3 linked regions of the Kluyveromyces lactis genome follow. The main gene of each other region encodes a partner of the protein of the gene in region 3 in a complex. Links are inferred from orthologs where the notes say so. Each region holds a gene or a part of one and is shown on either strand. Other genes may lie near its edges.

Evidence for each region. Proteins that work in one complex are often made in the same cells at the same time.
Region 1: ORC4 (region 3) and ORC1 share a complex: the UniProt entries of both Saccharomyces cerevisiae proteins name them as parts of the origin recognition complex. The link is inferred for Kluyveromyces lactis from reciprocal best matches to the Saccharomyces cerevisiae genes ORC4 and ORC1.
Region 2: ORC4 (region 3) and ORC5 share a complex: the UniProt entries of both Saccharomyces cerevisiae proteins name them as parts of the origin recognition complex. The link is inferred for Kluyveromyces lactis from reciprocal best matches to the Saccharomyces cerevisiae genes ORC4 and ORC5.

Annotation. Positions count from the first base shown.
Region 1 is NC_006038.1:453,565-457,516, forward strand, and holds ORC1 (origin recognition complex subunit 1), read left to right. Parts: upstream 1-1,152; coding exon 1,153-3,813; downstream 3,814-3,952. Other genes in the region: ECM7 (Ecm7p), read right to left, coding at 1-680. UniProt on the Saccharomyces cerevisiae protein: Component of the origin recognition complex (ORC) that binds origins of replication. It has a role in both chromosomal replication and mating type transcriptional silencing. Binds to the ARS consensus sequence (ACS) of origins of replication.
Region 2 is NC_006039.1:234,802-237,963, reverse strand, and holds ORC5 (origin recognition complex subunit 5), read right to left. Parts: upstream 1,923-3,162; coding exon 501-1,922; downstream 1-500. Other genes in the region: U5 snRNP complex subunit LIN1, read right to left, coding at 1-309; POL2 (DNA polymerase epsilon catalytic subunit), read right to left, coding at 2,133-3,162. UniProt on the Saccharomyces cerevisiae protein: Component of the origin recognition complex (ORC) that binds origins of replication. It has a role in both chromosomal replication and mating type transcriptional silencing. Binds to the ARS consensus sequence (ACS) of origins of replication.
Region 3 is NC_006039.1:1,481,504-1,484,887, forward strand, and holds ORC4 (origin recognition complex subunit 4), read right to left. Parts: upstream 2,148-3,384; coding exon 501-2,147; downstream 1-500. UniProt on the Saccharomyces cerevisiae protein: Component of the origin recognition complex (ORC) that binds origins of replication. It has a role in both chromosomal replication and mating type transcriptional silencing. Binds to the ARS consensus sequence (ACS) of origins of replication.

The DNA of each region.
Region 1 (3,952 bases), on a different chromosome or scaffold from region 3:
ACTGCCACGACGTAAAGTAGATTGACCATGTTGACTTTTCTTCTCGACAAAGCAGCCAAAAATTTGTTGTATTTTGCACTTTCTGCATTGTCGTGATCCAAAACACCATCGTTGTAAGTATATCCGTATGCGTAACTTAACACTATTCCCAAACCTAGGTCATCTAATAGCTTTCTATAGTTCAATAAGTATTGCGCTCCTTCCCTGTGACAAGTCATAGCCTTTGTAGAGTTATGTTCCTCCTTCCAAGTACCGTCAGGCTGCCATAATTCTTGAGAAGCATGTTTCATGCTGCACCATCCGTAAACTCCTGTCTTTATATAATCGGGCACGTCGTGGACCTGTGAGTCTACATACCGCGTGAGTAAAAGAATCTCTGCTGTTGTGAGTCCTGCTCCGTTATTAATATCAGACAGTTTTGCACTGACAACAGAACTGCTGAGCTTATCAAATAGTCCCTGCAAAATGTTAACATTTGAAGTGTCCAATCGTCCTAAATATAACGAATTTGGTGATGCGGCAGAAATAGCAGTCAAAACAAGGACAAAAACGATAATTCCCACTGAAGTTATAACTCGCAGCCATAACATCATCTTATCAAATGCGTTGAGGTGTCCTAGGGTCACTTTTAAGTATTTCCATAACGATATATTCCTCGCCAAGACACTTCCAAACCTCATTTCTTTTTATAAAGCTCCTAAAAGCTTCTTATGTATGACTCTATCAACGTGGGAAATTGTTCAATTTTTTTTCCAGCAGGCCAGCTGCCTTTATTCTTCTGTGTTTATCTGCTTCACCTTCGTTAATTGACTGGCAGAATTCATTCTGTTTATCATGTCATCACTCTTGAGATAAATCTCTTGATCTGTTTCTGCCAGGGTTCAAGGTTTAAAATTAGACGTCAGGAATGGGAAAACTATGTATCATTTTACACGTATTTGATGTTTCAAGATCGATCTTAATTCAGTAAACAGAGGAACCGTGTAACAACCAATATGCTATGAGATAAAAGAATGCTACGGAAACAGGTAGCTGTCATTTCAACATACTTGGCCAGCAAGTAACTACTACTAGTTTAGGAAGGAATTACTGCATTTTAACGGTTATCTGATTATTTTTCCTTTTTATTCCGTGGTAGCGAGTTTATTAGGCATGGCGTCAACGTTAGCTGAGTTTGAAGTTCAATGGGAAATACAGAAGACAGACTTGAAGGGGAATCTCATTGCTGAAACTCCTAGGCGAAGAAGAAGAGGAGATGCTACAGAACATGAAGTGATTAATTTGGTACGATACGATGGAGTCAGACTTTATCCTGGTGTTACGATTGTGTGCAAGGTAGAGGGTGCAGACGAGTTATCAGCGTATATGATCCATGAGGTGCGATTGAATACAAGCAATTACGTAGAACTCTGGTGTTTGAACTATTTGAGTTGGTACGAGATCAATGCTGCGGAAAGATATAAACAGCTTGATGGAGAGTTTTATGAGACTAATAAGGAAAAAGGTGACAAATTTTTTGAGGAAACCTTCGCGTCACAATCGATAAAGAACGAATTGTATTTGACAGCTGAGCTTTCAGAGATTTATCTACGGGACTTGCAATTTGTAGCTAATATTAAAAATGAAAAGGAGTATTTAGACTCTGTCAATGAAGGGAAAATGGATTCTAATATGTTTTTATGTCGATCTGCATGCTTGCCTTCAGGAACTAATCTGGCGGATTTAGATATACATTTCTTTGAAGAAAAAATACGTTCCTCGAATCCTAAGGTGTCTCTGGAGTATTTGCGTGATATTACTTTACCCAAGCTTCCAAAACCTTTAAATAAATCCAAGGTCCACGCACGAGAGAAGGTAGTGGCGACGAAATTGCAGTCCGACAACACACCAAGCAAAAAAAGCTTTCAACAAACAGTGAGCAAAACCAACGCTGAAGTCCAACGCATTGCATCTACTATTGTTAACGAAAAGGAAGCTATATCAGATAATGAATCGGATTTATCTGAATATCACGAAAGTAAAGAAGAGTTTGCAAACGCATCCTCTTCGGACAGTGATGAAGAGTTTGAAGATTACCAGTCTGCAGAAGAGCTTGCAATTGTAGAACCTGCCAAGAAAAAGGTGAGATCTATTAAACCAGATATACCCATTTCACCAGTAAAATCACAGACTCCATTGCAGCCATCAGCAGTTCATTCATCTCCTAGAAAGTTCTTTAAGAATAATATAGTGCGCGCTAAAAAGGCATATACTCCATTTTCCAAACGGTATAAGAATCCGAAGGATATTCCTGACTTGAACGATATTTTCCAAAGGCATAATAATGATTTGGATATAGCTGCATTAGAGGAGAGATTCAGAACAGTTTCTGCTAAAGGCAAAATGGAGACTATTTTTTCTAAGGTGAAGAAGCAATTGAACTCAAGGAATAGCAAAGAAGAAATTGTCAAAGCTGCTGATTTCGACAATTATCTTCCGGCAAGAGAAAATGAATTTGCAAGTATATACCTCTCACTTTACAGTGCAATTGAAGCAGGCACTAGCACCAGTATTTACATTGCCGGGACGCCAGGCGTTGGTAAAACTTTGACGGTTCGAGAGGTAGTTAAGGATTTAATGACATCTGCAGACCAAAAAGAACTTCCAAGATTCCAATACATTGAAATCAATGGTTTAAAGATTGTCAAAGCAAGTGATAGTTATGAAGTCTTTTGGCAAAAAATATCTGGAGAAAAGCTTACATCTGGAGCTGCCATGGAATCTCTGGAGTTTTATTTTAACAAAGTTCCAGCTACGAAAAAACGTCCTATCGTTGTGTTATTGGATGAGCTTGATGCATTAGTTAGCAAGAGCCAAGATGTAATGTACAACTTCTTTAACTGGGCTACCTATTCAAATGCGAAACTTATTGTTGTAGCTGTCGCAAACACCTTAGATCTCCCCGAACGCCATCTTGGTAACAAGATTTCGTCCAGAATTGGTTTTACTAGAATTATGTTCACTGGTTACACGCATGAAGAGCTTAGAACAATCATCAATTTGAGACTTAAATATTTGAACGAATCTAGTTTCTATGTCGACCCGGAGACAGGGAGTTCGTACATGATCTCTCCGGATAGTAGTACTATAGAAACTGATGAAGAAGAAAAGCGAAAAGACTTCTCTAACTATAAACGACTAAAACTTAGGATTAATCCTGATGCCATTGAGATTGCATCAAGAAAAATTGCTAGTGTCAGTGGTGATGTGCGGAGAGCTTTAAAGGTGGTCAAAAGAGCGGTAGAATATGCGGAAAATGATTACTTAAAGAGGCTTAGATATGAGCGACTAGTCAATTCCAAAAAAGATACTAGTGGCAATGGTACAGGAAATGAAGAATTACAGAGTGTAGAAATTAAGCATATTACCAAGGCATTAAACGAAAGTTCGACCTCTCCGGAACAACAATTCATATCTGGTCTGTCATTTAGCGGAAAACTTTTCCTATACGCATTAATCAATTTAATTAAGAAGAAGCAAACTGACGTACAACTTGGTGATATCGTAGAAGAAATGAGGCTCCTCATTGATGTCAATGGGAATAACAAATACATTTTAGAGTTGAAACGGATTTTATTCCAAAATGATTCTGTTGATACAAAGGAACAGTTAAGGGCCGTGTCTTGGGACTATATTTTATTGCAATTATTGGATGCAGGTGTTGTAGTAAGGCAATATTTGAAGAATGAGAGGCTCTCGACGATCAAATTAAATATTTCCATGGAAGATGCGGAGCAATGCTTGCATGAAGATGAAATGTTGAAGACATTTTAGTATATGCCTTCAAGACGCCTTTGCTGCTATTATAATTGCTACTTAGGTTGTCATGTAGCGTAGCGGTTAAGTAGAATATGAAACTGCTTTTTCAACTATTTAATTATAAGATAGAAAGATATAATAAAGGATGCATTTT
Region 2 (3,162 bases), about 1.2 Mb from region 3:
GTTACTACCATTTATTTCTTCTTCTGATACTGAATCATCAGCAACAGCGCTGTCAGATTCTGAAATCTCTGAGGAATTTCCATCAAAGATTTCATCGGTTTCGGTTTGACCTCTTCGTACGAAATCTTCTATTTCTTCTTCATTATCGCTACTGTCGTCGCTGCAAGAAATGTCCTGGTAGTCTGATTCCTCGAAGTGATCGTCATAGCTATCTGCGTTGAAGTCAGTCTTTTTGACCTGAAGCTTATCCTTAGATTTGGTAATTACAGATCTATCATTTTGATCAGATGATCCCTTATTTACATTCATACTCAATGAAAGCTGCTGCTTTCTGCTTGCTGGTATGTCAAATATCTGAATCTATGGTTGTTTCTCTCTACGTATCAATTTCAATGTCTATAAAAAATACCTAAATTTGAAGAAGCATTCCATAGAGTAAAATGAGATCGAAAAAAAAAGAACGGCATGCAACAATCATATAACTACTACAAATGCCGAGTTTATTCCACAACATCACTGAAATATTCTGAAATATCAAAATCAACACTGCCAGCCACTAGTAATATGTAATCCCAAGTGACGTTAACTTTAAACTTAAGTCTTTCGTGAAGATACCCCAATTTGTGCATGTTCAGACCGGTAAGAAGTTGAGAAGTAATCAATTCGGACACGTTTTCGTAGACTTCCACATTTGCTTTCATATGAACATCTCTTTGAAAGAAATCTGGAGACAATTCCTTCGAAACTCTGACTGGGTATATCGATTGGAAAATTGCCAGCATTCTCTCAAGAGAAAAGCCTGATGGTTGAAGGTATCTCGGGTTATTCGCTGGTTTGCTTCTTCTCCCATAAGATGATCTACCCCCCCTTAGATGACTCTTCTTGGAGAAGACTTTAGAGTCGTACCGATGATTCAAATATGATGCCAAATATGCGGCTATTAGAAGATATTTTGCCATGAAACAAAGAGAATGGCTTGAATAACCAACAGACCCGGTACCACTTAGTGAATTTTGATCCGAACGGCTGGTTTGTGGTATTAGTCTTTCGTTAGGTTTATTGAATAGCTCCAGGTTAGATTTGTATAACTGTACTGTATTTTTAATGTTCTCTTGATTTAAAGATCGTACAAAGCACCTCCATTTAATTCTCATTATGTCTATCAGTGCAGTGGGGTCATAACCTGTATATACAATTAATGATTCTATCAGGAAATGGATATATTTTTCGAAGATTTCACTCCTGAATTGTTCTGTATTTCCGCATCCTATCTCATCCATTTTTTCCAATAACAGCGGGTCATCCGAGAAACCTGGTGTTTGTGATACAATATATTCAATCTCCAGTGGTTTATATTTGGGGAAGAAGATCGTGGGAACCTTGAACGTTGAGTAATTGGACAAGAATGAGGATTTGGAGAACGAGATTATTAACCGAAGTTGAATCATCGCTTGTGGAAGAATAGATCCAGGTAATGCCATGAGTTGCGTAGGTGTTTCCAAGTTCACCTGTGAATTATCATCCAGCCCATCGAGTATAACATAAAGGTTAACGCGTTCTACCAAGTGATTAAATCGGATAAACAATTTATTGATAAATTTCTGCAAAAGATATACGTCCTCGGCTTCAAATGGATCAAGATCAGTGGTTTCCACACTAGGAAATTGTTTCAGTAGCAATTGACGCAGACATGTAGCCAACCGCTGACAGGTGGATTTGCTATATATCAGATCTTTCGCTGGTAGTAAAATGTTCATGATTTCTTCATTGCAAGCAAAAAACTTCTTGAGGGTATGTGTCTTACCACTTCCATGCGGCCCTTCTATGAACAAGATTGGCGGGCTCAGTTTTGGATCGGCATCGACAAACGCTTCCAAAAAATCTAGTTGTTCTTCTCTATATCTAACATCAGGTCGTACCATTCTGGGTCACTTGATTCGCAGTAAATAACACATAGTGCGTCTTCATTCAGGTGGGAAGAATTCAACCATGCTAAGTTCAGAACAATTTCCTTTATGTGTATATATATTTTTTATTTTCAGATCTATTTTAACACATAAACACTCATAAATGTTAAATGTAAACACATCAGCAGACTAAAAGATAATACAACAGATGCCAGGGACTTGAACCTATAAGAAATCATTCAAAGTTTCTTTCAATGTTCTAAAGTCAAAGCTTTCCGCCAAGTTCTTGAAAATTTGTAACTGTGCCATGAAAGATTCCTTAGATACGGCAAGTTCCCATTTTCCTGAACATGGACAATAAGGTGACATTGCATCCTCTTTGATCTTATGACATTTATTGCACTTAACATCTTGGGTAATAAACGATGCAACTTGGGCTTGAAGTCGTTCGATCACATGCTCTTCAATGAGATTTTTATTCAAGGATCTGTTGCAGCTCTGGCATATGAAGACTCGTTCCATACTTTCTCTGCAAATATCAATATCTGATATATAAGAACAATGCTCACATATGAAGCTAGGGATCACAAAAGATGTACTTGGATCCTTGAATTCAGCTAATCTGTCGAATTCGCGTATTTCAAATGTCTTTAGGAGTTCTTTCCTTAGCGCCCTTCCTTCTAATAAATGATTACTGGAAAGTGATAAAATATGTGATAAGTATTTGACCAACTCAAGAAGCGGATTTTTCACAACTAGATGCGACCCAGGAATTGTGGGAGATAGATAATCCTTGCCGAAGTTAGGATCAAGAATATATTCCTGTTGGTTCTTGTAAAGTTTCTCTGCTCTTTTGATGAGAGCTTTTGAAAAATTATGGGTAAAACCGCCTAGAGAGTCAGTTTGACTATCTACGTCACTATCAGCCAGTGTATTCTTTGGTAATTGGGTTAATCTTTGTGTGGATGCATTTCGCTCATGATAGGCTTCCTTTGTCTTAACCATACTATCCAGTATGACTACTAACCAATCATCAAACTCTTGCTGATAAATTGCAGGTAAGAAATCCTTTATATGCCAATGAGAATAAGCCTGGAAACTCTGAACTTCTTTATCTTCAATCTGTAGACATGCTCTACCACCATAATTATACTTATCCATCCAAATCAGGACATCCCAATATCTATCAATTTTCAAGTCTAGATAGGCAAACATTGGTTTAGATCTGATCGCTTTCATGAGATACTGCCCATAG
Region 3 (3,384 bases):
CCCTCTAAAAAGACCAGCCGAAACTTGATCTTTGGTTATCTTCTTCTCTATTTGAGTCTATATTGATGAGATACGTTAATAAATCGTAAAACCTTTAAATATACTCAAAAGTTTTACTATGAACTAGCGATATGATGAAGAAAAAATATGGTATGTGCAAAAAAAGAATGGTTCCTAGCGGGATCGAACCGCTGATCCCCGCGTTATTAGCACGGTGCCTTAACCAACTGGGCCAAGGAACCAATTTGTGGTTGTGGGAGCGAAAAAGGCAATCCATGACGAAAATTGTGGATCACGTGCCTGGAGCCATTAATAAAACCTAGCTGAACACGGTTTATCATGAAAAACCTTTGATTAATGACACCGATGTTGAAGATGCTCTTAATACTACAAGATGCTGTTCGATCGTAATGACAAGAACCGTACAATATGGGTTTGAGTTTAGATTTGTCGAGAAGAAAATGCTTGAATTGCTAATTATATGTACATATTTCCTACATCTATAACTGAGTCCATGAGTAGAAAAATGAGCTCTTGGGTATCGTCAATCGCATTTCTTGCAGCGTTACGCAAACTTGATAGGTTCGAAGATCAAATGGTGCCTTCATTGTGGATGAATTGTAGTTTGCTGATTGTATAGCAGAGTCTTCTGTGAATCTGACAGAAATCGCACCTCTCTCAGTGATAAGCTCTTGGTTTGCCAAGTTTTCCCATACATTCTTCATGTCGTGTTTAGTCCACATTTTGAACCTATCAGCGAAGGTGGTCTTATGAATCTTCCCCAATTTAGAAAATTCTTCATGTACCAAAGTCAAATTGATATGTTCGTCATTCTTTAAAGCCACTCTACAAGCAGATATCAAAATAGCTAACTCTAAATCAGATAGTGACAAGATCTTAGCTGAAATTGAATCTAAGAGTTGATTCGCCAAGTACTTTTTTATTTTGCTGCATGTTTTGATGCTCTCAACTAGTTCAGAATATGTTTTAGACAAGGCAACTGTGGGAAATATGGCGTTTTGTAATAGTTGTATATCTTTGAAGTTCTCGTAGTTCTGACGCAGAATACGAGAAATCTCTGAATCGTCATTTTTTAAAGTCTCATCCAAGAACTGGTTCCATCGAAGCTGATCAGGAATTGTTGAATCATCCACCTCTAAGAGCTCTTTGAATACATGCTTGAATTGATCATAATCCGAGATTGATGGCATATATATGATTCGCTGAGAAAACCGGGATTTCACTCTGTTTTCAAGAAATTGCATGATTGCCAACTTTGTAGTAAGACCAAGAACACAAACTGGTATCCTTGAAGTCTCTACTAGGTCAAATAAATTATACAAAAGTGTCTGTCTCACTGGTCCAGCAAATTTGTCAATTTCATCAAATATGAACACTAGCGTTACGTGCTCTGATTTTTCTTTCTGTGAGTGTACACCCTTTAGAGGAGTCACAGTAAATGAGTCCAACAATCTTAGAATGTTATCAAAGACTTCTGTCAAAGTACCTTCAGATAAACCTAATTCTTCTGCTTTAACTTTTTTTGATGAATTAACGTTTCTGTTTGCAAGTTCGAATTCTAATTGTTCAGCAATACTGTTAATTGCAGAGTTTTCCGAATGTAAAGAGCCATTTAAGTTGATAACAATGAATTGTTCGTTGTGTGTCGATCTTAAAGCCTCCAAATGATGCTTTATTATCATATCTTTATAATTGGATCGAGGACCGATGAGTATGGCCGAATGACTTTCTTTTTGAATGATGCATTGTCGAAGAAGCTTGTCAACTTGAGTTGAAGTGTTTTCCAAAAAGTCGGGTATCTTAGTTTCCTTAAACCCAAGAGTGCCATTTAGTTTTCTTGTCAAGTAGTGCTTCATTCTCTTAAATGTCTTTGTTTCTGGTGTCTTATTTATACCAAACAAAGGAATTGGTTGTGCTGCAGTATCTTCAGTACGTGTTTTTTTGGTAACAACTGCAGTATCAAGTTCAGAGTCGTTAGATGCACCAATAGAAGATCTTTTGACAGGGCGTTGTAATTTAATCTTCTTAATCTTCCCATCAAGCTTAACATCGTCTATGATCTCATCTGCGTTCACTTTGTGTACCGACTTTCTGATGGGGCCAAACTCGCTTTCAAGGTCATCCATTCGTACTAATAAATTGAATTGTGGATTAATACTAACTGTAATCGAATGAGATTAGTTTGACAGTGTTAGAACATGGACTTTGGTTTATGAATTATCTAAGGTACCGTTCTACTACTTTGGATGTATTCATTGTTGTTGATTTAGTTTTAAGGTTATTAAATGTTTAGTAAGGTTACCCGAAAATAATGAATTATTACTAGTCAGGTATAGTGAATTGGATGCACCATAGATAAGAACAACGGAACTTCTTCCAATACTTGATTCAAAACATTATCTTCCGAACTGGTAGCAACAGGACATAAAAGACGTGACTCATACGAATTAATCCCATTTAAACAATGTCTAAGTAATAATCATGTCAGAACACACACTCTTTGTTCGCAATGACTTTATCTTGTCTTTCTTTACATCTGTGGCACGAAATTGATAACAATATGACAAAAAAGAATAAACAAAGATAGGACCGACAGAAAAGGGAAAATCTTTGTTATTGGTAACTCTGACACCTTCTCATCCAAACTTACATTTTGTCTCGTTTGTCAACTACCCCCTTGTGTTTAATCAGGTATGGAAGGAGTGACGTTGACCACACATGAATTATGCAGACGCTGTGACTTTTAGTATAAGAGTTGTGAGATATTACTTCTTATTCGAGTATATATGTACGAATATATATATATATATATATTGAACTAGGTCAACTAGAACATTTAAATAAATTAATAATTAATACTACTATTATTATTACTCTTATCATTCTTATTCTTATTATGTTTGGGAGAGAAAAAGAATGGTTTTGTAAATGGTAACATGGTGATGAAATTTAGAGAAAACAAAAAAGGATCCATATGGTTTTAGACGCTTTACTCAGTTCCTTCGTTTGATTAACGTTAAGGATGGTATAATATAATGGTAGGGATAGATTTTCCACACTGGAACGGGACACGATATAATATAGTTTATGATCTGAGCGAAATAAATGAAATGAAAAAAAGAGACAACAAAAAAGGCAAACGGAACATGGAAAATATAAGGAGTCAAACGAGCGATGTTACAGATAGTGACAGTGATAATGGCAATAATAATAACGAATAATAATAGAAAAGAGAAAAATTTGGAAAATCTGAAAATACCGAAAACAATAAATAACCAGGGTGACGAGAAATCCCCCTTATATTGTGTCTGCAATGGAAAAAAATGGGTTTTAGGCTCTATCTTCCGTTAGGGAATAAACTGG